Callithrix jacchus: one gene and its partner. The protein of the gene in region 2 interacts with the protein of the main gene of each other region in a pairwise test. Links are inferred from orthologs where the notes say so. Each region holds a gene or a part of one and is shown on either strand. Other genes may lie near its edges. The genes, in order: DOK2 and KIFBP.

Region 1 (12,303 bases), on a different chromosome or scaffold from region 2:
GAATTGCTTGAACCTGGGAGGTGGAGGTTGTGTTGAGCCAAGATCATGCTATTGCCCTCCAGCCTGGGCAACAAGAGGAAAAATTAGCCGGGCATGGTGGTACGCACCTGTAATCCCAGCTACTCAGAAGGTTGAGGCAGAAGAATGGTTGGAACCCAGGAGATGGGGGTTGCAGGGAGTTCCACTGCATTCCAGCCTGGACGACAGAGTGAGACTCCATCTCAAAACAAAAAATAAATTTTAAAAATTGTGGAATGTATTAGCTTCTTTATGTCTCATTCCAGGGTGCATGTGGGTTTCATATGAAGACATAAAGTGTTCTAAATATTATGTTACTGTTAGGTAACATAATTATTATGTTTATGTTACGTTACATTATGTTATATTATGTTACAGGCCCTTCCTCTCAGGGTTTCTAGAACTAGGTTCTCCCTTTCCTTAGTACTGAGAAAAGTGGTAGACTTTTTTTTTTTTTTGAGATGGAGTCTCACTCTGTCGCCCAGACTGAAGTGCAGTGGCACGATCTCGGCCCAAACCTCCGCCTCCTGGGTTCAGGCAATTCTCCTGCCTCAGCCTCCCGAGTAGCTGGGATTACAGGCACGCACCACCATGCCCAGCTAATTTTTTTTTTGTATTTTTAGTAGAGACGGGGTTTCACCATGTTGGTCAGGCTAGTCTCGAACTCCTGACCTCATGATCCACCCACCTTGGCTTCCCAAAGTGCTGGGATTACAGGTGTGAGCCACCACGCCTACCGGAAAATTGATAGACTTAGTGGAGAAAGGGTAGGGGCTACAAATGAAACTCAAGAGACTGGCATTGTCCTTCCCCCCCTCCCCCCCCACTGAAGGTGGAAGGGGCAGGGAGGGGATCCTTCAGAATACTTGCTCACTGATTTCTTCACTCCGTCCTTTACCCTTCTCAGGGCCACATCAGTTCTCTGCCCATCCTGTACCTACTTTTCTGTTTGTGTCCAGAGCTACCCCTTAGGATTGGGTGGCTAATCACTGCAGCATAATAGTAACAAAAAGTTGCAAAGTTGTCCTTCCTGACTCCTGCTGAGAGAAACCATTGAATAGGACTGGGGTCCCAGTGGTTTAGAATGAGCCACAGGTGGGGTTTGGAGTGCCTCTTCCTTTCCTTAAAAACAAAGAGAAGTCCAGGCGTGGTGGCTCACGCCTGTAATCCTAGCACTTTGGGAAGCCAAGGTGGGTGGATCATGAGGTCAGGAGTTCGAGACCAGCCTGACCAACATGGTGAAACCCTGTCTCTACTAAAAATACAAAAAATTAGCTGGGCATGGTGGTGCGTGCCTGTAATCCCAGCTACTCAGGAGGCTGAGGCAGGAGAATTGCCTGAACCCAGGAGGCGGAGGTTGCGGTGAGCCGAGATGGCACCATTGCACTCCAGCCTGGGTAACAAGAATGAAACTCCGTCTCAAAAAAAAAAAAAGAAAAAAAACCAAAGCGAAGCCAAGAGGCACCCTAAATTCCTTTACAATGCTTTTTCTTTTGAGGCAAAGTCTCTCTCTTGCCCCCCCCCACCCCCACGCTGGAGTGCAGTGGCCCGATCTTGGCTCAATTCGACCTCCGCCTCCTGGGTTCAAGCGATTCTCCTGCCTAAGCTTCCTGAGTATCTGGGATTTACAGGTGCCTGCCACCACACCTGGCTAATTTTTGTATTTTTAGTAGAGACAGGGTTTCACCATGTTGGTCAGGCTGGTCTTGAACTCCTGACCTTAGGTAATCCACCCACCTCAGCCTCCCAAAGTGTTGGGATTACAGGCGTGAACCACTGCGCCTGGCATACAGTGCTTCTTCTACACATCATTTGTGCCTGCGGATCCTCAGGGCATATAATTCTGTGTTTCTGCTGTGTCTTGGAGCAATGTCTCTGGGCTCCTGCTCTGGGTTTCCCTGTGGTTAGACAGAAGGTACTGGGGTTATTGCTTCTACTTCAGGGTCCCCACAAATCCTGCTAGGGACGGTTGAAGGGGCCTAGAAGGACTGCAAGGGTGTTACTCTTCATATATGCTCTGCTGCCCTATCTTCTGCAGACAACAGCAACCGGAGAACTTCTCCAGCTTCCATAGGCAAGGGATGACTTGGGGTGTCTGGATTGCCTGAGGTTCCAGCCTCTGGATTGAAATAGCTTTCAAGTAATCTGGTAAGCTGGGGTGCCCCCCTGTGGTTCCTAGTGGAATGTGTCTGTTTTACCTTCAGGGAAGGCGATCAGGGTAGCAGGGGACATTCTCTGTTACCCTGCTATTCAGTGTGGTTTGGCCCACTCACTACCAGTAGGATCTCAGGGCTCATTCCAGACCGGCTTTATTGGAATCTGCACTTTTTTTTTTCAGACGGAGTTTTACTGTCGCCAGGCTGGAGTAGCACCATCCCAGCTCATTGCAACCTCTGCCTCCCGGGTCCAAGCAGTCTTTTGCCTCAGCCTCCTGAGTAGCTGGGACAACTAGCATGCACCACCACACCCAGCTAATTTTTGTATTTTTAGTAGATGTGAGGCTTCACCATGTTGGCCAGGATGTTCTCAATCTCTTGACCTCATGATCTGCCTGCCTCGGTCTCCCAAAGTGCTGGGATTACAGGTGTGAGTCACCACATCCAGGCCAGAATCTGGACTTTATTTATTTATTTATTTTTGAGACGAAGTTTCGCTCTTGTTACCCAGGCTGGAGTGCAATGGCACGATCTTGGCTCACCACAACCTCTACCTCCTGGGTTCAAGCAATTCTCCTGCCTCAGCCTCCCGAGTAGCTGGGACTACAGGCGCGCGCCACCATGCCCAGCTAATTTTTGTATTTTTTAGCAGAGACAGCGTTTCACCTTGTTGACCAGGATGGTCTCGATCTGTTGACCTCGTGATCCACCCACCTCGGCCTCCCAAAGTGCTGGGACTATAGGCGTGAGCCACTGCGCCCGGCCCTGGACTTTTAACAAGATCTACGTGTTACAGTTTGGAAGGCACTGCTCTGGCAGCCCCCAGGGTGGCCCTAAAGCCCTCCTCTTCTCACTCCCTGAGCCAGAGACCATGCAGCTCCCAGGCAGAGTTGATTCTCCTTAGGGACTAAAGGGGAAGATTAGGCCACATCCCATTTTCATACAACTACCCACTTTCCAAGGTGTGCTTTTCCCAAAACAGCATCCTTGGTTCTCCCTTGAGCTTTGGATCAAACTCTTCCAACCCAGGCAGCAGGGTGGGGGGTGGTGAGCTTGAAGTGACTCAGCCCTGTCCTCGCAGAGCTCTTGACATTCACCTTTTCAAGCTGATTTGGTCTGCGGCATGTACAGCAGGCCTGAGCTGTGCACGGTCCTCTCACTCCTTGCCAGGGTAACTGAACCCCTGTGGGAGAGGAAGTGGGCCTGTGTATATAAGCACCTGTTATGGAATGAACCCCAAGAGAATGAACTGCTGGTCTGAGCCTCAGTTTTTTCCAGCATTTCTGCACCGTGCCTCTATGCAGATTGCTTTCTAAACCCTCTGGCTTTAAGCTAAACTTCTCTGAGCAGCCTGGATTTCCCTAAAGCAATGGGTCTTCTTGCATGGATCTGCCTTCCATTTAGGGGCCTGCGAAATGCTGAATCAGGAGCCCTGGTCTCTACTTCTTCCTCTGCTGCCTAGCTCTGACCTCAGGCAAGATGCAAATAAATGTGTTCACACCTGCCCTGCCTTTGTCGAGGGGTAGAGTGGCTGATGAAAGTGTGGGCCTGGAAACTGGGAGCTATGAAGCATTTTCGGCAACCATGAGGCATTTTCAAAATATATATGAAAGTGATTGCTATTGAAACTTAAGATAATTTGCAGATGAAACCTAAGCATCTTTCTAATGCTCAAGAATGCTGGAAAGAAGGCAAAAATCCAGCAGTTGAGGTGTACTTGGGGAGTCAGTTCCTTCTCCAGAGGAGATGATCATGTTTCTTGAATCTTTGCAGGGTTGGTGTCAGTGTGTGTTCTTGGCAGGCAGGGAGTGCTCCCATGTAGTTAAATGGTGGCACCTCTCTCTCTCTGTGTGTGTGTGTGTGTGTATGGGAAAGTGGTGTCTGGTTAGGCCCACATGAGCTGTCTTATGTGTCTCTCTGTGCCATGTCGTGTGTGTGGTTCACCTGTTAGAGTTGAGAAGCCTGGTTTGGTGGCCTCAGATAAGTTCCTCAGGCTTTCCCAGCCTCAGTTTCCTTATATGTAACTTAGTGGTTTGTCCCTTCCAACTTGCATACAGCTTGAGGTGGGGCCCTTCTGCTGCTGGTTTCACTGTCTAATTTGGTTTCTTGGTCTCTGTTCCAGCAGGCCAGCCCCTGTTTGCTGGTGCCTCCATGTGCCAACTTCTGTACCTGAATTGTTGCTCACTGAAGAGCTGGCACTTGCCTTTTTGTAAATTGTCTGTAACTCACTGGAAATGCAGGAAGCTTGTGTATAAAACTCACTCAGAAAACACACACACACACACACACACACACACACACACACACAGAAGAAACCACAGGGCCTATCAGCCTGTCGTCATCAAGCAGACTAGAATAGTGTAGAAAACTCTAGGCAGAGAGGAAATGAACTTCAGAGAAGGGGAACACACAGCTGAGAAGACAGAGGAGAGGGCAGGAGTGAAGGAGAGAGCTGAAGCCAGGGGCTCCGAGATGGTCAGAGGATGGGAGACGGGGCAGTGAAGCAGGGCTTCCTGTATCTTCAGCAGCAGCAGACGTTTGGAAAGGTAGGAGTGAGGCTGGACTGGGCCTGGAGGACTGCTAGAAATTCCTGAGGTGCAGAGTTTCATATTCAAAACCCTTATAGGTCTGACTGTACACTCACCAAGTCAGACTCAAAGCTCAATCTTGGGAGGGCTCTTTCCCTACCAGACGCTGTCTCCTGAACCAGGCCCCAACCAGGTCCCAAACTGTGCTCTTTGCTGAGGGCTGTTTGCCCTGGGTGGGGGTAGGGGGATGTGCTGGCTTCATCTCTTGCCTCTTTTGCTCTTTTACTTTGTGTTGGCTTCTTTTCACAGGACATCTTGGAAAGGAATGGGAAGGGCAGCTGGAGGGACGGTTTAGGATGATGGGAGAGGTTCCTTCCTCACCCCAGTGAGGTGCATGTGGCTGGTGTTCATGCATGGGGCTTCTGGGGTCTGGGACCCAGCCAGCTGTCCATCCTCTCTCTCCTTCCCTGGCCTCCTTGAACCAGGAAGTCCTCATCCCCCAGCTGACCAACACTGGGGGCACACCTGTCTCTCTCTCATGGCCCAACCTATCAAGCAGTGAGGCAGCAAGGTTCAGGAGGGTGGAGAGACGTTCCTGGAGTATGGGGCCTTCTTCAGGACTTGGTACAGAAGGAGAATGAGGTCTCTAGGCTGGGCCACATGCTGCCCTCCTCACTCCCTCCTCTGGAGGAAAGCTTTGGCCACTGCCCGGCTTTCCTCCTGGGGACTGGAGTCCGCTGGGGTGGCCCCCTTTGGCTTCTTGCAGCCTGCTTAGGGCTCATCCCGGTGTTGCTTTCTGCCTGGGCAGTCTGTGCTCCTGCTCGTGGGCCTCGTTCTGGGGGCTGGCGGCTGGCGGCTGATCCGATTTTCTGATTCCTGCAGTCCCTGTCCTCTTCTCTGCCTCCCTGGGTCTCCTGTGATCTTCACCTCTCTCTCCCCATCTCCCGTGGCTGTCCCGGTCCCCCTCCCACGGTTCCTCTTCTCCCCTTGAGTCACGATCTCCCCTGTCTCTGGGTGGCCCCCTCTGGGCCCCCGCCTCCCACGCCTCTGGCTCAGAAATGGCGCCGCTTCGGGGCTGCGCTGTATGGAGAGTCGGACTGCGCCTTGGCCCGGCTGGAGCTGCAGGAGGGTCCGGAGAAGCCCCGTCGGGGTGAGGCTGCCCGGAAGGTTATTCGCCTTAGTGACTGCCTGCGGGTGGCTGAGGCCGGCGGAGAGGCCAGCAGCCCCCGGGACACCAGTGCCTTCTTCCTGGAGACCAAGGAACGCCTGTACCTACTGGCGGCCCCCACTGCAGAGCGAGGCGACTGGGTGCAGGCCATCTGCCTCCTGGCCTTCCCGGTGAGTCACCCTGGGGTGCAGAAAGGGCAAGGGGGCATGCAGGCCAGGGTGTTACATGCTTCCTGTGGGCAGGTGTTAGAGAAGTCAAGGTCAGGGTGCTTCCTTGAGAAGGGGACCCGAACCCAGCGCACAGACAGAGCCAGCAGGCTGGGGTGCCCTGCAAGGAGGCCTGGGTCAGAGGGGGACCTGGGGAGGAAGGTGGTGAGACCTGGGGCCTCCTTCCCAGGGGCAGAGGAAGGAGCTCTCGGGGCCAGAGGGAAAGCAGAGCCGGCCGTGCATGGAGGAAAATGAATTGTACAGCTGCGCGGCCACAGGTGAGGGGCGGGGGCTGCCCTGCTATCCCTGGGGGTTCTCCCCAGGCTGAGGTGAAGAGGAGGTGTGGGCCAGCTAGCTGCTGGCCCAAAGTCTTCCTGCCTTGTGGTTACCCGCAGCTGGGGCCAGCCACCTTATCAGCCTCTCTTTTTCACTTCCGGGTACAGCCCAGCGGAGGGGAGCCTGGCCTGCCTTGAGTGTCTCCCTTGGCTCACCCCATTTTACCTAGGGCCTGCTGGTGCGAGAGGGGAACCCTAGGGGCCCAGGTGTTGCCTTTTTATTTTTATTTTTGAGGCAGAGTTTTGCTCTTGTCCCCCAGGCTGGAGTGCAATGGCCTAATCTCAGCTCACTGCAACCTCCGCCTCCCAGGTTCTATCCATTTTCCTGCCTCAGCCTCCTGAGTAGCTGGGATTACAGGTGCCCGCCACCATGTCCAGCTAATTTTTTTGCAATTTTAGTAGAGACAGGGGTTTCACCATGTTGGTCAGGCTGGTCTCGAACTCTTGACCTCAAGTGATCCACCTACCTCAGCCTCCCCAAGAGCTGGGATTATAGGTGTGAGCCACCACACCGGCCCAGGTGCTGCTTTTGAGGAGCTGGTGGAGGGAGAAGCAGCTTTCATCTGCCTTCCATCTAAGCTCTACCCCCCAGGGCCCTGGCAGTGGGAGGGCAGGGCCAGGCTTCACCTGCAGCTGTGACAGTAGGGATTGGGGAGGTGACTGGTTTGGGGTGAGAGAAGGGGTGGGGAAGACAAGACTGTGGCTCTGGCAACAGGGGCAGGAAGGATGTGGGCACGAGGTTGGGGTGGATGTGGGTAGGGACATGAGGCCTACTAGGGTAGGGGGTGGATGTACCTGGCCTTTTGGGGAGTATGACCTGGCATAGAGCAGCTCAGCCTCCAAGACCCAGATGGGCGGTCATGAGTACGTGGATAATATTCTTTCTAGAACACTTCTGGCACAGTCATTTAGAACTGGGCAGCGGTGAGGCAGGCCAGCTCTTTCCCATTAACTGCCTTCACCTTCTCTCTCTTCTCCCCAGTTGGCCCCCGCAAGGAATTTGCTGTGACCATGAGATCTACAGAAGCCAGCGAGAGGTGCCACCTGCGGGGGTCCTATACCCTCCGGGCGGGGGAGAGTGCTCTGGAGCTGTGGGGTGGGCCTGAACCAGGGACCCAGCTGTACAACTGGCCCTACAGGTTTCTGCGGCGCTTTGGGCGGGACAAGGTGAGTGGGAAGCTGCATCGGGCTGGGTTGGGAGAAAGGATAAGCTATGAACAAAGTGGGTGATCAGGGAGAGGCAGAGGAGGCCAGATGAGGCCGAGGGAGCCATTAGAGGCAGAGAGGATGGTGGGGAGGAGGAGGTGGGAGGAAGCAAAGGCAGAGAATAAAGGCCAGTGGAAGAGAAAAGAAGCATCGAGGGGATGGGAGAGACTAGGAGAGGGAGACGGAGTGAAGCAAAGAGGAGAGTGACAAGATGGTGGAAGTGGAGGAGAAGGAAGGAGAAAGGAGAATGAGAAGAGGTGGAGAGACCATGGAGGAGTGAACAGTGGCTGAACTAGTGCCTGGCTCCATCCTTGAATGGAGCAGTGAGCAGGAAGGGCCTGGAGATGGGAGAGGAGAGAGCCAAGTCTGCTTGTAGGGAAAAGCACAGAGGTTCTGGTGAAGGGAAGCTGGAGGTCCCAGGGCATGGGTTAGAGATAGGGTTTAGAAGGCATTCCTGGGCCAGGCGCAGGGGCTTAGCCTGTAATCCCAGCACTTTGGGAGGCTGAGGTGGGCAAACCATGAGGTCAAGAGATCAAGACCATCCTGACCAATATGCTGAAACCCTGTTTCTACTAAAAATACAAAAATTAGCCGGGTGTGGCAGTGCATGCCTATAGTCTCAGCTACTCGGGAAGCTGAGGCAGGAGAATCGCTTGAACCCGGGAGGTAGAAGTTGCAGTGAGCTGAGATCACACCACTGTACTTCAGCCTGGCGACAGAATGACCCTCCATTTCAAAGAAAAAAGAAAGAAAGAAAGCATCCCTGCCCTGTGGCTGGCCGATAACCTCCTTTCTCCCTGGCCTAGGTAACCTTTTCCTTTGAGGCAGGCCGGCGCTGCGCCTCTGGAGAGGGCAACTTTGAGTTTGAAACCCGGCAAGGCAATGATATCTTCTTGGCCCTGGAAGAGGCCATCTCTGCCCAGAAGAATGCCACCCCCGCTGCACCCCAACCCCAGCCAGCCACAATCCCCGCCTCACTGCCCCGGCCTGAGAGCCCCTACTCCCGGCCCCATGACTCACTGCCGCTGCCTTCACCCACCGCACTAGTACCTGCTCCACGGCCTCTGGGCCCAGAGGGGGAGTATGCCGTGCCCTTTGATGCAGTGGCCCGTTCCTTGGGAAATAACTTCAGGAGCATATTGGCAGTCCCTCCTCAGCTCTTGGCTGACCCTCTGTACGACAGCATTGAGGAGCCCCCGCCCCCTCGACCCGACCACATATATGATGAGCCCGAGGGAGTGGCTGCCCTGTGCCTTTATGACAGCCCACAGGAGCCCCAGGGTGAGGCCTGGAGGAGGCAGGCAACAGCTGACAGGGACCCCAGTGGCCTCCAGCATGTCCACCCAGCCGGGCAGGATTTCTCTGCCTCTGGCTGGCAGCCAGGAACCGAGTATGACAACGTCATACTTAAGAAAGGCCCGTAGTGACAGAGGCCGCAGCCCTGTCCCTGGCTTCTGCTGGTGACTCCTCATGGCCACAGCATCAGACGACCCTCCTCTGCCCCTCTGGAGCCCGAGGCCTGGCCTGCCTTCCTTGGGGCTGAAACACTGCCCCTCCCAGGGCCTGCTGGGTGAGTCACCATCCCAAAGCAGGAAGGGTGCCCTGGAGGACCCACCCTCCTCCCACTCTTTTTCCACTTCCTCCTCTTTCTTTCCCCAGCTGAGGGGGAACCTGGGGCATTTGGGGCAGAGGACAAAAGGATGTCAGCAATTGCCTGGGCTGCTTGGCTGTGCAGGCCTCCTGACTGCTGATGGCCACTTCAGGGACAGCCTGGGCCCAGGCACCAAGGTGGGTGGCGGTAGCTTCCTCAGCTTTCAGATTTCTCAGTGGCATTAAAGCATTTTGGAAACATTTTGTGTGGCATGAATGCTGTGGGAGTGAAGACTCTAACTGACCACCCTTGATCACCTCCTCTCCCAGCTGCAAGGTGCCCCCAGGGCCTAGGCTGCGCTCTGGTAACCTCCCAGAGGCCCGCAGGAGTCGGAGTACCCAGGCAGCGCAGTGGTTCATGCCCGTAATTCCAGCACTTTGGGAGGCTGAGTTGGGTGGATCACGAGGTCACGCATTCAAGACCAGCCTGGCCAACATAGTGAAACCCCATCTCTAAAAAATTAGCCAGGCATGGTGGCAGGTGCCTGTAATCCTAGCTACTTAGGAGGCAGAGGCAGGAGAATCACTTGAACCTGCGGGGCGGAGGTTACAGTGAGCCGAGACTGCGCCATCACACACCAGCTTGGGAGACAGTGCGAGATTTCATCTCAAAAAAAAAGAAGTCAGGGCGCCCTGAGAACAGTGTTCAAGCATGTCCCCCCTTTGCCAGGATAAGGTCAACCTCAGAGAAATGGTGGGGGAAACACTGGGGAGCAAGGGAAAGCCGAATTGCAAGGAAGGAAAGCATTGGATTGCTGGAGCCTCTTACACACCAGGGGTGGGAGTCACCTGCTCCGTGGTCCTAGGCTCTCTCCCTTCTCTGAGATTTGTGTACATCTTTGTAAAATGAGGGGGTTGCACCATGTGGGCACTGAGCAGCCTTCCAGCTCTGTGATTCCCTTTGGCCCTGGGCTCCCAGGCCCCCACACACCCATTTTCCTGCAGGTCAGCCTGTGTCCTTGTGCTTGGTCCTCTGATCAAACCTGCTTTCCTGGCAGGGTGTGTCCATGGACTTCCACTATCGGCATAGTCTGTTTGTGGGAGGCTGTAGACTGCCTGGCCTGTGAGAGGTGCACAGCCCAGAACAGGACGAGATGAGACAGGGCACAGGTGTCTGTCTCACAGTGGGTGTGAGTGCCCGAGAGATAACTATTTCCTGGGAGCGCAAGAAAGGCTTCGTATCAAAGATACCATTTCAGGTGGGTGTTTACAGATGGGAAGGAGTTCCATGGAGATTCTGGGGTGGGAAGGAGCATCTTGGATGGGGATGGGAGTGTGGGTGAAACCACGGGGCGTATGGATGTGTCGCATTCAGGATGGAGTTCTACACCCAGAGCTCGGGGAAGGTGACACAATCTAGTTGGGAAGGCAGGTTCTGACTGTCTTAAGGGTAATTGGTACCTAATTAGAGGGAAAGGTGGAATGACTCAAGGCTTTTGAACAGTGAGTCCCATAAAAGCTGAGCTTTAGGGCAATAACCTGATAGCCCTGTGGAGGATGGATTTTGGGTAGGAAGGGGTAGGTTGGGACTAAACTGAAAAGGGGAAATTCATCTGGGCATGGTGGCTCACACCTGTGATCCCAGCGACTTGGGAGGCCAAAGTGGGAGAATCACTTGAGCCCAGGAATTTGAGACCAACCTGGGCAATATAGTGAGACCCTGTCTCTATAAAAACAAAGAAACAAATTTAGCCAGGTGTGGTGGTGCATACTTGTAGTCTCAGCTACTTGGGAGACTGAGGCTGGAGAATCATTTAGCTTTGGCAAGAGAGCAAGTCCCTGGCTCAAAAAAAAGAGGGAAGGGAGAATTCAGAAAGGACTGGATTCAAAAGAAGGTATACAGCTGGCCCCTGCGGATCTTGGACTCATACTCAATGTGGAACACAGAGAAAGAGGTTTTCTAGAGAGACTTGGTTTTTTTTTTTTTTTTTTTTTTCTCTTGAGACAGAATCTCGCTCTGTCACTCAGGCTGGAGTGCAGTGGTACGATCTTGACTCACTGCCATCTCTGCCTCCCGGGTTCAAGTGATTCTCCCATCTCAGCCTCTGGAGTAGCTGGGACTACAGGCATGCACCAACCACATCTGACTAATTTTTTGTATTTTTAGGTAAGCTGGGGTTTCACCATGCTGGCAAGGCTGGTCTTGAACTTCTGACCTCAGGTGATCTGCCTGCCTCAGCCTCCCAAAGTGCTGGGATTACAGGTGTGAGCCACCATGCAAGGCTAATTTTTGTATTCTTTTTTTTTTTTTTTTAGTAGAAACAGGGTTTCACCATGTTGGCCAGGCTGGTCTCGAACTCCTGACCTCAAGTGATCTGCCCTCCTCAGCTACCAAAGTGCTGAGATTATAGGCATGAGCCCCCATGCTGGTCCTGAGACTTGGGTCTTGAGAACAGGATGAACTTAGTTTCTGATGCGTTGAGAGGGAGATGGCTGGCACTGATCCAGCAAGACGAGTCCTGGAGCTGGACCGAAGTAGCGCTTAGGAGGGAGAGGGGCATAGACTTAGGCATGGACGTCTGCCTCCCAGGTGTGCTGTGACCTCTGTTTCTCCTCTCACTGTGGCCTTTTCCCTTGTTGAAGGAACTTGAGCAATGGATGAGTTGCCTGGGGAGAGCCAGTGGGGGCCTTCCTGTCTGTGCAGAAGAGCGTCGCCCGGCACCATCCCTTCCCAGCCTCAGGATCACTGAAGGCGGGAAGGCTCTACTGCCCTTAACGCTTTTACTCTTCCCCTTCTTCAGTCCAGCGGTGGGAGTTGGGTGTTCTCTTTGGCAAGGCAGCCACATTTTGGATTTCCTAAGGCGGCATTTGAAGTGGCCTTCCTGCCTCAGCCCGGCAGGGGGCAGTGTTAGCCTGTGGAAAAGGCCACTGGCAGCTTCGCCACTGCCAGGCTTGGGGGCTTGGCCCTGAAGGAAGCCATTTACTACCCGAAGGGCTTGGGGATAATTTGAGGACTGTGTGTGTGTCAGAGCGTCCCTTCAGAGCCTCAGAATCCCACTCCCAGATGTATGAACCCTGCCTCCAAGAGGTGCAGGG
Region 2 (12,389 bases):
TAAAAATATTTTTATTCAGGGTCACTAATAATTGTTTGACATCAAACAAGTACAAAACCATATATGAATTAAAATTTTAAACTAATTTTTTAAACTGAAAATCTCCATTAAATTCACTCAAGTACTCATATACTTATAATACTGTTTTATTTTTCTTCTTCATATTGCTCTGGATGGACAAGGTAAAATATTCATTATTAAAAAAAAAAAAAACTGGCCAGACACGGTGGCTAACACCTGTAACCCTAGCACTTTGGGAGACTGAGGCAGATGGATCACAAGTTCAGGAGTTTGAGACCAGCCTGACTAACATGGTGAAACCCCATCACTACTAAAAAAATACAGAAATTAGCTGAGCGTGGTGGCGCTGTAATCCCAACTACTCAGGAAGCTGAGGCAGAAGAATTGCTTGAAGCTAGGAGGCTGAGGTTGGAGTAAGTAGAGATTGCACCACTGCACTCCAGCCTATGTGACAGAGCGAGACTCCATCCTTAAAAAAAAAAAAGCTTTCTCGTTCCCTGGCCATCTTAGCGTCTGCTTTTGATTGGGGGCTGTCCCACACCTAAGGCAGGAAGATGGTGGCCGCAAAGAAGACAAAGAAGTCACTGGAATCAATCAACTCTAGGCTCCAACTCGTTATGAAAAGTGGAAAGTATGTGCTGGGGTACAAGCAGACTCTGAAGATGATCAGACAAGGCAAAGCAAAATTGGTCATTCTCACTAACAACTGCCCAGCTTTGAGGAAATCCAAAATAGAGTACTATGCAATGTTAGCCAAAACTGGTGTCCATCACTATAGTGGCAATAATACTCAACTGGGCACAGCATGTGGAAAATGCTACAGAATGTGCACATTGGCTATCATTGATCCAGGTGATTCTGACATCATTAGAAGCATGCCAGAACAGACTGGTGAAAAGTGAACCATACAAAATTTTCCTTTAATAAAATTTTTCCAAGCTTGTTTTAAAATACAAAAACAAATTAAAAAAAAAACAAAAACAAAAAAAAACCAAGGCCGGGCACGGTGGCTCTTGCCTGTAATCCCAGCACTTTGGGAGGCCGAGGCGGGTGGATCACGAGGTCAAGAGATCCAGACCACCCTGGTCAACGTGGTGAAACCCTGTCTCTACTAAAAATACAAAAAATTAGCTGGGCATGGTGGCATGTGCCTGTAATCCCAGCTACTCAGGAGGCTGAGGCAGGAGAATTGCCTGAACCCAGGAGGCGGAGGCTGTGGTGAGCTGAGATGGCACCATTGCACTCCAGCCTGGATAACAAGAGCGAAACTCCGTCTCAAAAAAAACCAAACCAATCTTGCTCTGTCACCCAGGCTAGAGTACAGTGGTTCAATGATACCTCACTGCAACCTCAAACTCCTGGGATCAAGTGACACTCCTGCCTCAGTCTCCCAAGTAACTAGAACTATAAGTGTGTGCTGCCACATCTGGCAAATTTTTAAATTTTTTGTAGTGATGAGGTCTTGCTATGTTGCCCAGGCTGGTCTCAAACTCCTGGGCTCATGTGACCCTCCTGCCTCGGCCTCTGAAAGTGCTGGGATTACAGGCATACAAGCTTCTCATATCATTTTGTAGTCAAGCATTCTGATGCCTGAATTTAGCAAACATAATTCTGTATGTTTAGTCTCTTTTATATGATATATAATGTTATTTCAAGTTTTTTAATGTTATAAAAACACTTTATTAATGGATTTTTTTTTGAAACAGGGTCCTGCTTTGTCGCCCAGGCTGGAGTGCAGTGGCATGATCTCAGCTCACTACAGCCTCTGCCTCCCAGGTTCAAGCGATTCTCCTGTCTCAGTTTCCTGAGTAGCTGGGACTACAAGTATGCGCCACCACACCCGGCTGTTTTGTATTTTTAGTAAAGATGGGGTTTCACCATGTTGCCCAAGCTGGTCTCGAGCTCCTGACCTCAAGAGATCTACCTGCCTCAGCCTCCCAAAGTGCTGGAATTACAGGCATGAGCCACCATGCCCAGCCATATTAATGGGCTTTTAAAGCAGACAGATGTGACAAATAGTAATCCACAGCAAAATATTGTACCTGATCATTTCTCTTTCATATTAAAAAAAAGTTTATTAAAGAAACAGATGTAACACAGTGGCTTGTCACCTTTATAGGCTGTGACCCCTAAAGTGAGAGTTTTCAGCATTAGCTCCCCAGAGCCCTAGAAGTTCTACAGCATCTCTTTTATACTACTGAAGTGGGGAGGAAGGAAGAATCTGCAGTGGACTGGGCTCTGGGTTCTTCTAACCTCCTTAACCAGAGTAACTCAATCCATTTTATTTTATTTTTTTGAGATGGAGTTTTGCTCTTGTTGCCCAGACTGGAGTGCAATTGCACAATCTCAGCTCACCACAACCTCCACATCCCAGGTTCAAGCAATTCTCCTGCCTTAGCTTCTCGACTGGCTGGGATTACAGGCATGCGCCACCACACCCAGCTAATTTTGCTTTATTTTTTTGAGACTGAGTTTCGCTCTCGTTACCCAGGCTGGAGTGCAATGGCGCAATCTCGGCTCACCGCAACCTCTGCCTCCTGGGTTCAGGCAATTCTCCTGCCTCAGCCTCCTGAGTAGCTGGGATTACAGGCATGCGCCACCATGCCCAGCTAATTTTTTGTATTTTTAGTAGAGACGGGGTTTCACCTCGTTGACCAGGATGATCTCGATTTCTTGACCTCGTGATCGACCCGCCTCGGCCTCCCAAAGTGCTGGGATTACAGGCTTGCTAATTTTGCATTTTTAGTAGAGTTGGGGTTTCTCCATGTTGGTTAGGCTGGTCTCAAACTCCTGAACTCGGTGATCCGCCCTCCTCGGCCTCCCAAAGTGTTGGGATTACAGGCGTGAGCCACCGTGCCCAGCTTCAAATCAGTTTTTATACGCTGTATTTTCAGAAGGGTTTCACAGGTTAAAAAAAAAAAAAAACATTGAAAAACCATTGCCCTGAAGCAGTGGTTCTCAAAGTACAGTACAGTACTTAGGACAACAGCATAAGCATCACTGAGGACCTTGTTAAAAATGCAAATTCCTAGGCCTCACCCCAGAACTACTAAATCAGAGACTGGAAGCCCAGTCTGCTGTGCTTTCACAAGCTCTCCAGGAGATTTTAATGGGTGCTAACGTTTGAGAACCATTGCTTCAAAGATTTCAGATGTTTTGTTAAAAGTTATTGCTTCTGTCAAACAGTGGTATTTTCATTGAAAACCAAAATAGAATGTTTAGATTATAAATACAAAAACATGCAAATAGTATTTTGGGATAACATTAGAATAACGTTTCTTTTAGCCGGGCGCGGTGGCTCACGCCTATAATCCCAGCACTTTGGGCTGAGGCGGGTGGATCATGAGGTCAAGAGATCGAGACCATCCTGGTCAACAAGATGAAACCCCGTCACTACTAAAAATACAAAAATTAGCTGGGCATGGTGGTGTGCGCCTGTAGTCCCAGCTACTCAGAAGAATTGCTAGAACCCAGGAGGCAGAGGTTGCAGTGAGCCGAGATCGTGCCATTGCACTCCAGTTTGGGTAAAGACAGCAAAACTCCTTCTCAAAAAAAAAAGAATAATGTTTCTTTCATAATTGTATTTAGACTAGGTTGCCATTATGTCCTATCCAAGGATTATTTTTTTAAAACCCCAAAGTCCTTAATATGCAATAATTTCAGTTATTAGGTGACTTCCCAAATAGCTCTATAGAGAAGTTCCTGGGCACAGTGAAGAGTCACAGCGATATGATGCATGAGGAATTCTTACTATCAATTCTTGACTAGTTTTCAATCAAAACTGAAAAATTATCTGACATGTAACATACCTCTTTCATATATTGATTATATAGTGCTTCTGATGACTCTAGGTAAGCCTGTGCAGTTTCAATTTCTTCTCTTTCAGACCACAGGATACCCAGGTTATTCTAGAAAATAAGGAAAAAGAGAAACAAACAATAATATAAGCCTTCCAATTAAAGTAACTTTCATAGTTTTAAAGTCAATACTTACGAATCAAATAGTGGAGTTGGATTACCAATGAATTAATAATTCCCAATGATACTAACCTTATGTAGTACAGCAGGTAGCTGCTAAAATGAACCCTATTTCTCTATAAAGAGAAATAAAATTAAATTAAAAAAAAAGAAAAGCTTTGTTTAACCTATGCATTCTAGCTGAGATCTGTTTGCCTCAGGCTAGTAATCACAGGTCCATGTGCCAGCAGATACCTTGCACACACAAAATTGAGTAATACATATCATGTATAAAAGGTAAAGACTATATGGTCCCTGTATATTTAAAAGGAATAATACCTAATTCTCATGGGTGAACAATTAGTGAGGGGCAAAGAGACAGAAGTTACTAACCCACAAGGGAGAACCAAGCAAAGTCAGCAGAAAAGAGAAAAGTCCTGTGCTCTGGGAATGCTGCAGAATGGGCGCTGGAAGGTTTCAGGGACCAGGCGGCAATCCAGGTCATACCAGGAACATAAGTGGATGTCAGTAAATGTGGCAAAGGGCCTTCAAGCTGAAGAAAACTGAACAAGCCAAGACACAGAACCACAGGAGTACTGCCTGTTCAGAGGAGAGTGAAGCATTTGTTCTGAGTAGCACGATGTGAACTAAGAAGAGACATAAAACTCAGGAAAACCTCACCCAACGAGAGAGTCCAGAAACAACACTGGTCTGTATTTCTTAACAGCAATTCAACAAAGAATCTGAGGTGGCCTGCAAAACTAACAAGAGAGCAAATTATCTTCCCAAAGGCAGGGGCACCACATGCTCTTTGCAGAGGGTCAGTAGCCAAGGATCATGCTGCAGTCCCTCCCCAACCCCACTGTGACACCCCAATAATCAAATTCACCAGGAATAACCTTCCTTAATAGAAAATCTCTCTCCTCTCAAAATGTAAAACAAAAAAGATAAAATCAAAGAAAATAAAACAAAAAGAGACCATCAGAGCAAGCTTTAGCCCTCATAAGTCACCCCTACTGAGAACAAGGTCTACCCCATTACTGAAACTGATTTGTAACACTGTTCCTACTACATCCTCCTCTTCAAAAAAAGTAAATAAATACCACACAAAATATAAACTTACCCCAAATAAAAGTCAGCATCAACCTAAGGATCCTACTGTAATATTACTACACTAACCAAGGATATTTTAATCCTCTTCCAACCCATTTCCAAAAAACTCCTCATGTGAGACTTCTGGAAGCATTACAAATACTGTTGCATTACAGTCCTCTTCTTGATGTAGTCTGAAGTCTTAAAACAGAAAAAAATTTACATATTTTTCTACACCACCACTGAGGGTTAATTATCACAAAAGGCCTACAACCAAAATCCCCATCCCCTTGATTCTCAAGCTATTAGAAATTTCCCCTCATATTAAACAATGGGAAACACACATAGAAGATGAAAAGTCATGCTAAAATTTTAAAAAGACGAGCCATGGTGGCTCATACCGGTAATCCCAACACTTTAGGATGCTAAGGTAGGTAGATGGCCTGAGCTCAGGAGTTTGAGACCAGCCTGAGCAATCAAATGAAACCCAGTCTTCACAAAAATACAAAAATTAGCTGGGTGTGGTGGCACACAACTGTGGTCCCAGCTACTTGGGAGGCTGAGGTGGAAGGATCGCTTGAGCCAAGTAGGTGGAAGTTACAGTAAGCCATGAGGTGCTACTGCTATCCAACCTGGGCAACAGAGCAAGATTCTGTCTCAAAAAAAAAAAACAAAAAAAAAACATGAAAAAGAAACTGTGTCACCACACTAACAGTCTAAACTTTGCCTAAGACAAAATAAGTTTACTTGGTTTACCCAAGTTACAGGCATATTATAAAGTACTCAAGAAATTAACACCCTATAAAAACAGTGAAACAATTTTAGGTGGGAGCATAAAATTAAAATCATCTCATCCTCTGGCAAAGGGTTCTTCCAAAATGCCAAGTCCACAGAAGGGATGTGTGGCAAACCATCTGCACAGGGTTGTCTCCCATACCTGCCCACTCTCAGGCCAACAGCCTTTACCCTTTTGTCCAGGTCCACTTCAGAGGTGCAGGAATATTGAATGCTTGACGGATATCGGCTGGCTTTTTGTGCTGCACATGATGTCCTCCAGCACCTGCTGCCAATGCCTTAGCTTTGTCAAGTGCTTCCGGACCAGTGCGTATCTCCAATATTATTTATTTCTTAGTTCGGAGACATCCTCATTGACAACTTGTTCTAGTTTCTGGACAGATAATTGCAATCTCTTCTTTTTTTTTTTTTTTTTTTTGACACAGAGTCTTGCTCTGTCGCCAGGCTGGAATGCAGTGCCGCAATCTTGGCTCACTGCAACCTTCGCCTCCCAGTTTCAAGCAATTCTCCTGCCTCAGCCTCCCTAGTAGCTAGGACCACAGGCGTGTAACACTATGCCTGGCTAGTTTTTTGGGTTTTTTTGTTTGTTTGTTTGGCGTGGGGGCATTGTTTTTGTTTTGTTTTTTTTTCCTGTAGAGACAGAGTCTGACCTTGCTGCCTAGTCTGGTCTCAGACTCCTGGCCTCACACCATCCTCCCACCTCAGCCTCCCAAAATGCTGGCATTACAGATGTAAGCCACTTGCCCTGCCCAGATTTACTGAATAAACCAAACACCTTATAAATGGGAAACAAAAAGTTATTATAAGAATTCAAAGGTAGGAAGGAGAGATCAGTTTGGTTCAAAATGGTCCCAAGAAAGTTATTAATACTAAAGGAAGTGATTCTTGAGATGGGTTTTGAAGAATGGGGAAGAATTCCCTGAGATACAAACAAATGAATTTGATAAGAAAGGAAGCTAAAAATTTTGGACATTTTGTTTTGAATTAAGAATGTATCCTGAAGCCAGGTGCGGTGGCTCAAGCCTGTAATCCCAGCACTTTGGGAGGCTGAGGCGGGTAGATCACAAGGTCAAGAGATCGAGACCATCCTGGTCAACATGGTGAAACCCCGTCTCTACTAAAAATACAAAAAATTAGCTGGGCATGGTGGCGCGTGCCTGTAATCCCAGCTACTCAGGAGGCTGAGGCAGGAGAATTGCCTGAACCCAGGGGGCAGAGGTTGCGGTGGTGAGCCGAGATCATGCCATTGCACTCCAGTCTCAAAAAAAAAAAAAAAAAAAGAATGTATCCTCAGCTAAGCACTGCGGCTCTGGCCTGTAGTCCCAGCAATTTGGGAGGCCGAGACAGAAGGATCACTTGAGTCCAGGAGTTCAAGACTAGCCTGGGCAATATAGTGAGACCCCCATCTCTACGGAAAATTTAAAAAATTACTGGGAGCAGTGAGGTGCACTTGTGGTCCCAGCTACTATGAAGGCTGAGGCAGGAGGATTGCTTGAGCCCAAGAGGTGGAGGCTGCAATGAGCTATGATGGCACCATTGAACTCCAGCCTGGGCGACACAGTGAGACCCCATCTCTAAGAAAACAAAACAAAAATGTACTCCAGTCACTGTCATTTCCTTGAAACGTTAAGATTTAAATTACTTCGGATTTTCTTAATAGAATGAATAGGAGTTGGAGTGGTGGAGAGGAAAATGCATGACAATTCAGGAGGGTCTCCGACACCAATGCATCGCCACAACTAAGTGAAGCAACAGCAAGCGATGTTAGAGTGGGCGACAAGGGTGAACAGGGAGCTTGGGGGCGACAGTGGGAGATCTAGTTACAAAGCAATAAGTCCTTTAGACTCGCCTTGTTGAAGATCATAGATGCTCTCTGGGACTCAGTCCAGAGCTTCAAAAAACATGGAGACGAACTGCGCCTTAGAATGTCTGCCCTTGGCCTTGGCAAGGGCTCCTCCCCATCCCTCGCCATTCACCGTCAGGGGCCGGCCTGGCGGGGCTTGCTCTCACCTGCGCCTGGATGCAGAGGGAGATGCAGTCGTGCGAGAGCCGGTACCTGCGCAGCAGCCGCAGGCATTTCACCAGGTGCTCCTCCCCCGCCGATAGCTCCTCAGTGTCGATGTGGTTCACCCCGAGGTGGAACTCGATGACCGCCAGCCTCACCGCTCGCTGGCCTACAGGCCCCTCGGGCTCCACCACCTCAGCCGGTAGCCCCAGGGCGTGGTCATCCGCACCTGGGCAGTCGTCGGCCTCAGGCCGCTCATCCTCGTCCTCAGACGTGGGGCCGAGCAGCGCCTTGACCTCTTCGAGCATCGCTCGGGCGCTGTATTTGGACTTGTACGGTTCCTTCTCCGGATTTTTATGCAGTTCCACCCGCGACAGGGCCAGCGCCGCCTGGAATTTCTCGCAGACCTCGGCCCACGGAACGTTCGCCATAGCGGCCTCTACTGCCTGGCTTTCCCCAACGTTTGCAGTCGGGACTCCCGCCTTCCTTCTGCTTTGCGACACTTTACTTACGGCTCTCGACAGGTCGGGGCCGCTGCTGAACGGGAACCAATAAAACCCGCCCGTAAAACCGCAATACGTTCGTCAGCGGCCAATGGGAAGACGGAGCAGTCACCACAGCAACCATTCTCATGGAAATGAAGTTGTCAATGAGCATGTTCCCGCCTCCTTCCCCGCCCCCTGCAGCGGTGAGTTTATATCTAGATTGACCCTGTGAGGACGGATTTATATAAAAATGTTTAAGGCCGGGCGCGGTGGCTCAAGCCTGTAATCCCAGCACTTTGGGAGGCCAAGGCGGGTGGATCACGAGGTCAAGAGATCCAGACCATCCTGGTCAACATGGTGGAACCCCGTCTCTACTAAAAATACAAAAATTAGCTGGGCATGTTGGCGCGTGCCTGTAATCCCAGCTACTCAAGAGGCTGAGGCAGGAGAATTGCCTGAACCCAGGAGGCGGAGGTTGCAGTGAGCCGAGATCATGCCATTGCACTCTAGCCTGGGTAACAAGAGGGAAACCCCGTCTCAAAAACAAAAAAATAAAATATAAAATAAAAATAAAAATGTTTAATCGGCTTACTTCAATGAAGCATATCGGAATATTTTTTACAAATATGGCTAGCTAAGTCTACTCGCGTTGATATTAACTGAAAGGCAAAAACCTTTGGACATTAAGTGTATACCCCAGCCTATCACTGGATAAAAACCTGTTTTAAAAAAGGCCAGGAGCCTTGGCTCACGTCTGTAATCCTAACATTTTGGGATGCCCACACTGCCGTAGGCAACATAGCAAGACCCATCTCTACAATAATTTTTTTTAGCTGGACATGGTGGCGAGCGACTGTAGTCCCAGCTACCATGGAGGCTGCGGCGGAAGGATCGCTTGAGCTCAAGAGGTGGTTACAGTGAGACGGCTTTAGAAAAGAAGAAAAAACGAGCCTCAGAACAAATACCTAATGTATGTGGGACATAAAACCTAGATGAGGGGTTGATAGGTGCAGCAAACCACCATGGCGCACGTATACCTATGTAACAAACCTGCATGTTCTGTACATGTATTCCGGAACTTAAAAATTAAGACAAAAGATTGGGCAGGGCGCGGTGGCTCACGCCTGTAATCCCAGCACTTTAGGAGACCGAGGCGGGTGGATCATGAGGTCAAGAGATCCAGACCATCCTGGTCAACATGGTGAAACCCCGTCTCTACTAAAAATACAAAAAATTAGCTGGGCATGGTGGTGTGTGCCTGTAATCCCAGCTACTCAGGAGGCTGAGTTAGGAGAATTGCCTGAACCCAGGAGGCAGAGGTTGCAGTGAGCCGAGATCGCGCCATTGCACTCCAGCCTGGGTAACAAGAGCGAAACTCCGTCTCAAAAAAAAAATTGAAATGTAGCCAAGATCTGATTGAAATGTAGCCAATATCTGCTTTTTTTGTTGTTGTTTGTTTCCCTCTTATTGCCCAGGTTGGCATGCAATGGCGGGATCTCTGCTCACCACAACTTCTGCCTCCTGGGTTCAAGCGATTCTCCTGCCTCAGCCTCCTGAGTAGCTGGGATTACAGGCATGCACCACCACGCCTGTCTAATTTTGTATTTTTAGTAGAGACGGGGTTTCTTTTCCTTTTTTTTTTTTTTTTTTTTTTTTTGAGACGGAGTTTCGCTCTTGTTACCCAGGCTGGAGTGCAATGGCGCCATCTCGGATCACCGCAACCTCCGCCTCCTGGGTTCAGGCAATTCTCCTGCCTCAGCCTCCTAAGTAGCTGGGATTACAGGCACGCGCCACCATGCCCAGCTAATTTTTTGTATTTTTAGTAGAGACGGGGTTTCACCATGTTGACCAGGATGGTCTCGATCTCTTGACCTTGTGATCCACCCGCCTCAGCCTCCCAAAGTGCTGGGATTACAGGCTTGAGCCACCGCGCCCGGCCCGAGACGGGGTTTCTTTATGTTGGTCAGGTTGGTCTTGAATTCCCGACCTCAGATGATCCACCCACCTGGGCCTCCCAAAATGCTGGGATTATAGGCGTGAGCCACCCCACCTGGCAATTATTATCAGTATTAATATGTAATCTCCTGAGTGAGAGCCATAAATATACAAAACAGTGATAGATAAATATTTTCACTTTGACCCTGAAATACAGGTCGTAGGAATCTGTACAACTGCCCACGGTAACAAGAGCTAAGTCCCACAACTGTGAAAGCCACCTCAGATCTTCAACCTTCCTAAGTTATCAAGTCAAATGGGGAGGGGTGATTTAAGATTTTAACTATTAAGAACTACCTGTGTAAAGTGCTTCAAGACATACAAATGAGCATTGATTTTAGAAGGTCATGGACATACGGTTTGAATCTCAGATCGACCAGCTTTCTTATTGACAAGTTAGCTTTTTTAAGCTTCAGGTTTCTCATAGTAAAATGTAAATACTACTACTTACCTCCACAGAATTATTCTGAAGAATAAATAAAATTAAATGTCTGTCCCTTTAATGCTCCTAAAAATTCCTTCCTAAACCTTATCCCTGGGAGATCTTATCCATTTCTAGGTCTATCATTACATGTGCTGCTCACTCCCACAACTCTGTCTCCAGGCCAGATGGCTTTCCAGAGCTCCAGACTGGAATATCCAACATTCAGCTAGAACAATCACACCTGAATGTTTCAATAGCTGCTGTATGTCAGTATGTTGAAGTCTAAATTTATTATCTTCCTCTTCACATGCCCCTTCCTTCCCATTTGCAAATGGGAAGGAAGTCCTGTGCTGATCTCGAAGTCCTGTGCTTAAGCAATCCTCCCACTTTAGGTTCCTAAAGTGCTGGGATTACCAAGCCCAGCCTCTTCTGTTATTTATGAGACGGAGTCTTGCTTTGTCACCCAGGCTGGAGTGCATTGGCTTGGTCTTGGCTCACTGCAACCTCAGCCTCCTGAGTAGCTGGGATTACAGGTGTGTACCACCACACCTGGCTAATATTTGTATTTTTGGTAGAGATGGGGTTTCACCATGTTGGCCAGACTGGTCTCGAACCCCTGGCCTCAAGTAATCTGTCCACCATGGCCTCCCAAAGTGCTGTGATTACAGGTGTGAGCCACTGTACCAGGTCTCTTTTATTATTAAACCTAAAACCAAATAGTACTATTCTGCCTTCTAAATAGTTCTGTGTACATCTTTTTATCTCCCATTAGTTTAGGCCACCATTATCTGATTACTCTTTTTTTTTTGAGATTAAGTCTCACCCTGTCGCCCAGGCTGGAGTGCAATAGCATGCTCTCAGCTCACTGCAATCTCCACCTCCTGGGTTCAATTGATTCTCCTGCCTCAGCCTCCCGAGTAGCTGGGATTACAGGCACGCACCACTATGCCCTGGCTAATTTTTTGTATTTTTAGTAGAGATGGAGTTTGACCATGTTGGCCAGGCTGGTCTTCTCCTGACCTCGTGATCCACCCACCTCAGCCTCCCAAAATGCTGGGATTGCAGGCATGAGCCACCGTGCCCAGCCTCATCTGATTATTTCTAATAGGCAGTCCTGCCAGTCTGGCCTCCTATCAGTGCATTCCCCAGTACATTTAAAATGATTTGGACCAGGTGTGGTGGCTCACACCTGTAATCCTAGTGCTTTGGGAGGCTGGAGTTGGGAGGGGAGGGGATCGATTGAGCCCAGGAGTTAAAGACCAGCCTGGGCAACACGGCAAAACCCCATGTCTACAAAAAAAAAAAAAAAAATTAACCAGGTATGGTGGTGGATTCCTATAGTCCCAGCTACTCAGGAGGCTGAGGTTGGGAGGATCACCTGAACCTGGGACATGGAGGCTGTGGTGAGCTGTGATCAAGCCACTGCACTCCAGCCCGGGTGACAGACAGAGGGAGACACTGTAAAAAAAAAAAAAGGAGGCCAGGCGCGGTGGCTCATGCCTATAATCCCAGCACTTTGGGAGGCCGAGGCAGGTGGATCACAAGGTCAAGAGATCAAGACCATCCTGGTCAACATGGTGAAACCCCATCTCTACTAAAAATACAAAAAATTAGCT

The links.
Region 1: the proteins of KIFBP (region 2) and DOK2 interact in a two-hybrid assay, tested with the Homo sapiens proteins (2 studies listed by BioGRID and IntAct). The two-hybrid records come from large-scale screens. The link is inferred for Callithrix jacchus from reciprocal best matches to the Homo sapiens genes KIFBP and DOK2.

The regions. Positions count from the first base shown.
Region 1 is NC_133514.1:19,594,091-19,606,393, forward strand, and holds DOK2 (docking protein 2), read left to right. Parts: upstream 1-4,568; 5' UTR 4,569-4,657; coding exon 4,658-4,720; intron 4,721-5,758; coding exon 5,759-6,040; intron 6,041-6,266; coding exon 6,267-6,354; intron 6,355-7,393; coding exon 7,394-7,578; intron 7,579-8,423; coding exon 8,424-9,041; 3' UTR 9,042-9,471; downstream 9,472-12,303. UniProt on the Homo sapiens protein: DOK proteins are enzymatically inert adaptor or scaffolding proteins. They provide a docking platform for the assembly of multimolecular signaling complexes. DOK2 may modulate the cellular proliferation induced by IL-4, as well as IL-2 and IL-3.
Region 2 is NC_133513.1:61,080,668-61,093,056, forward strand, and holds the start of KIFBP (KIF-binding protein), read right to left. Parts: upstream 8,350-12,389; 5' UTR 8,301-8,349; coding exon 7,875-8,300; intron 3,930-7,874; coding exon 3,831-3,929; intron 1,554-3,830; exon of another isoform or gene 215-1,553; intron 1-214. UniProt on the Homo sapiens protein: Activator of KIF1B plus-end-directed microtubule motor activity. Required for organization of axonal microtubules, and axonal outgrowth and maintenance during peripheral and central nervous system development.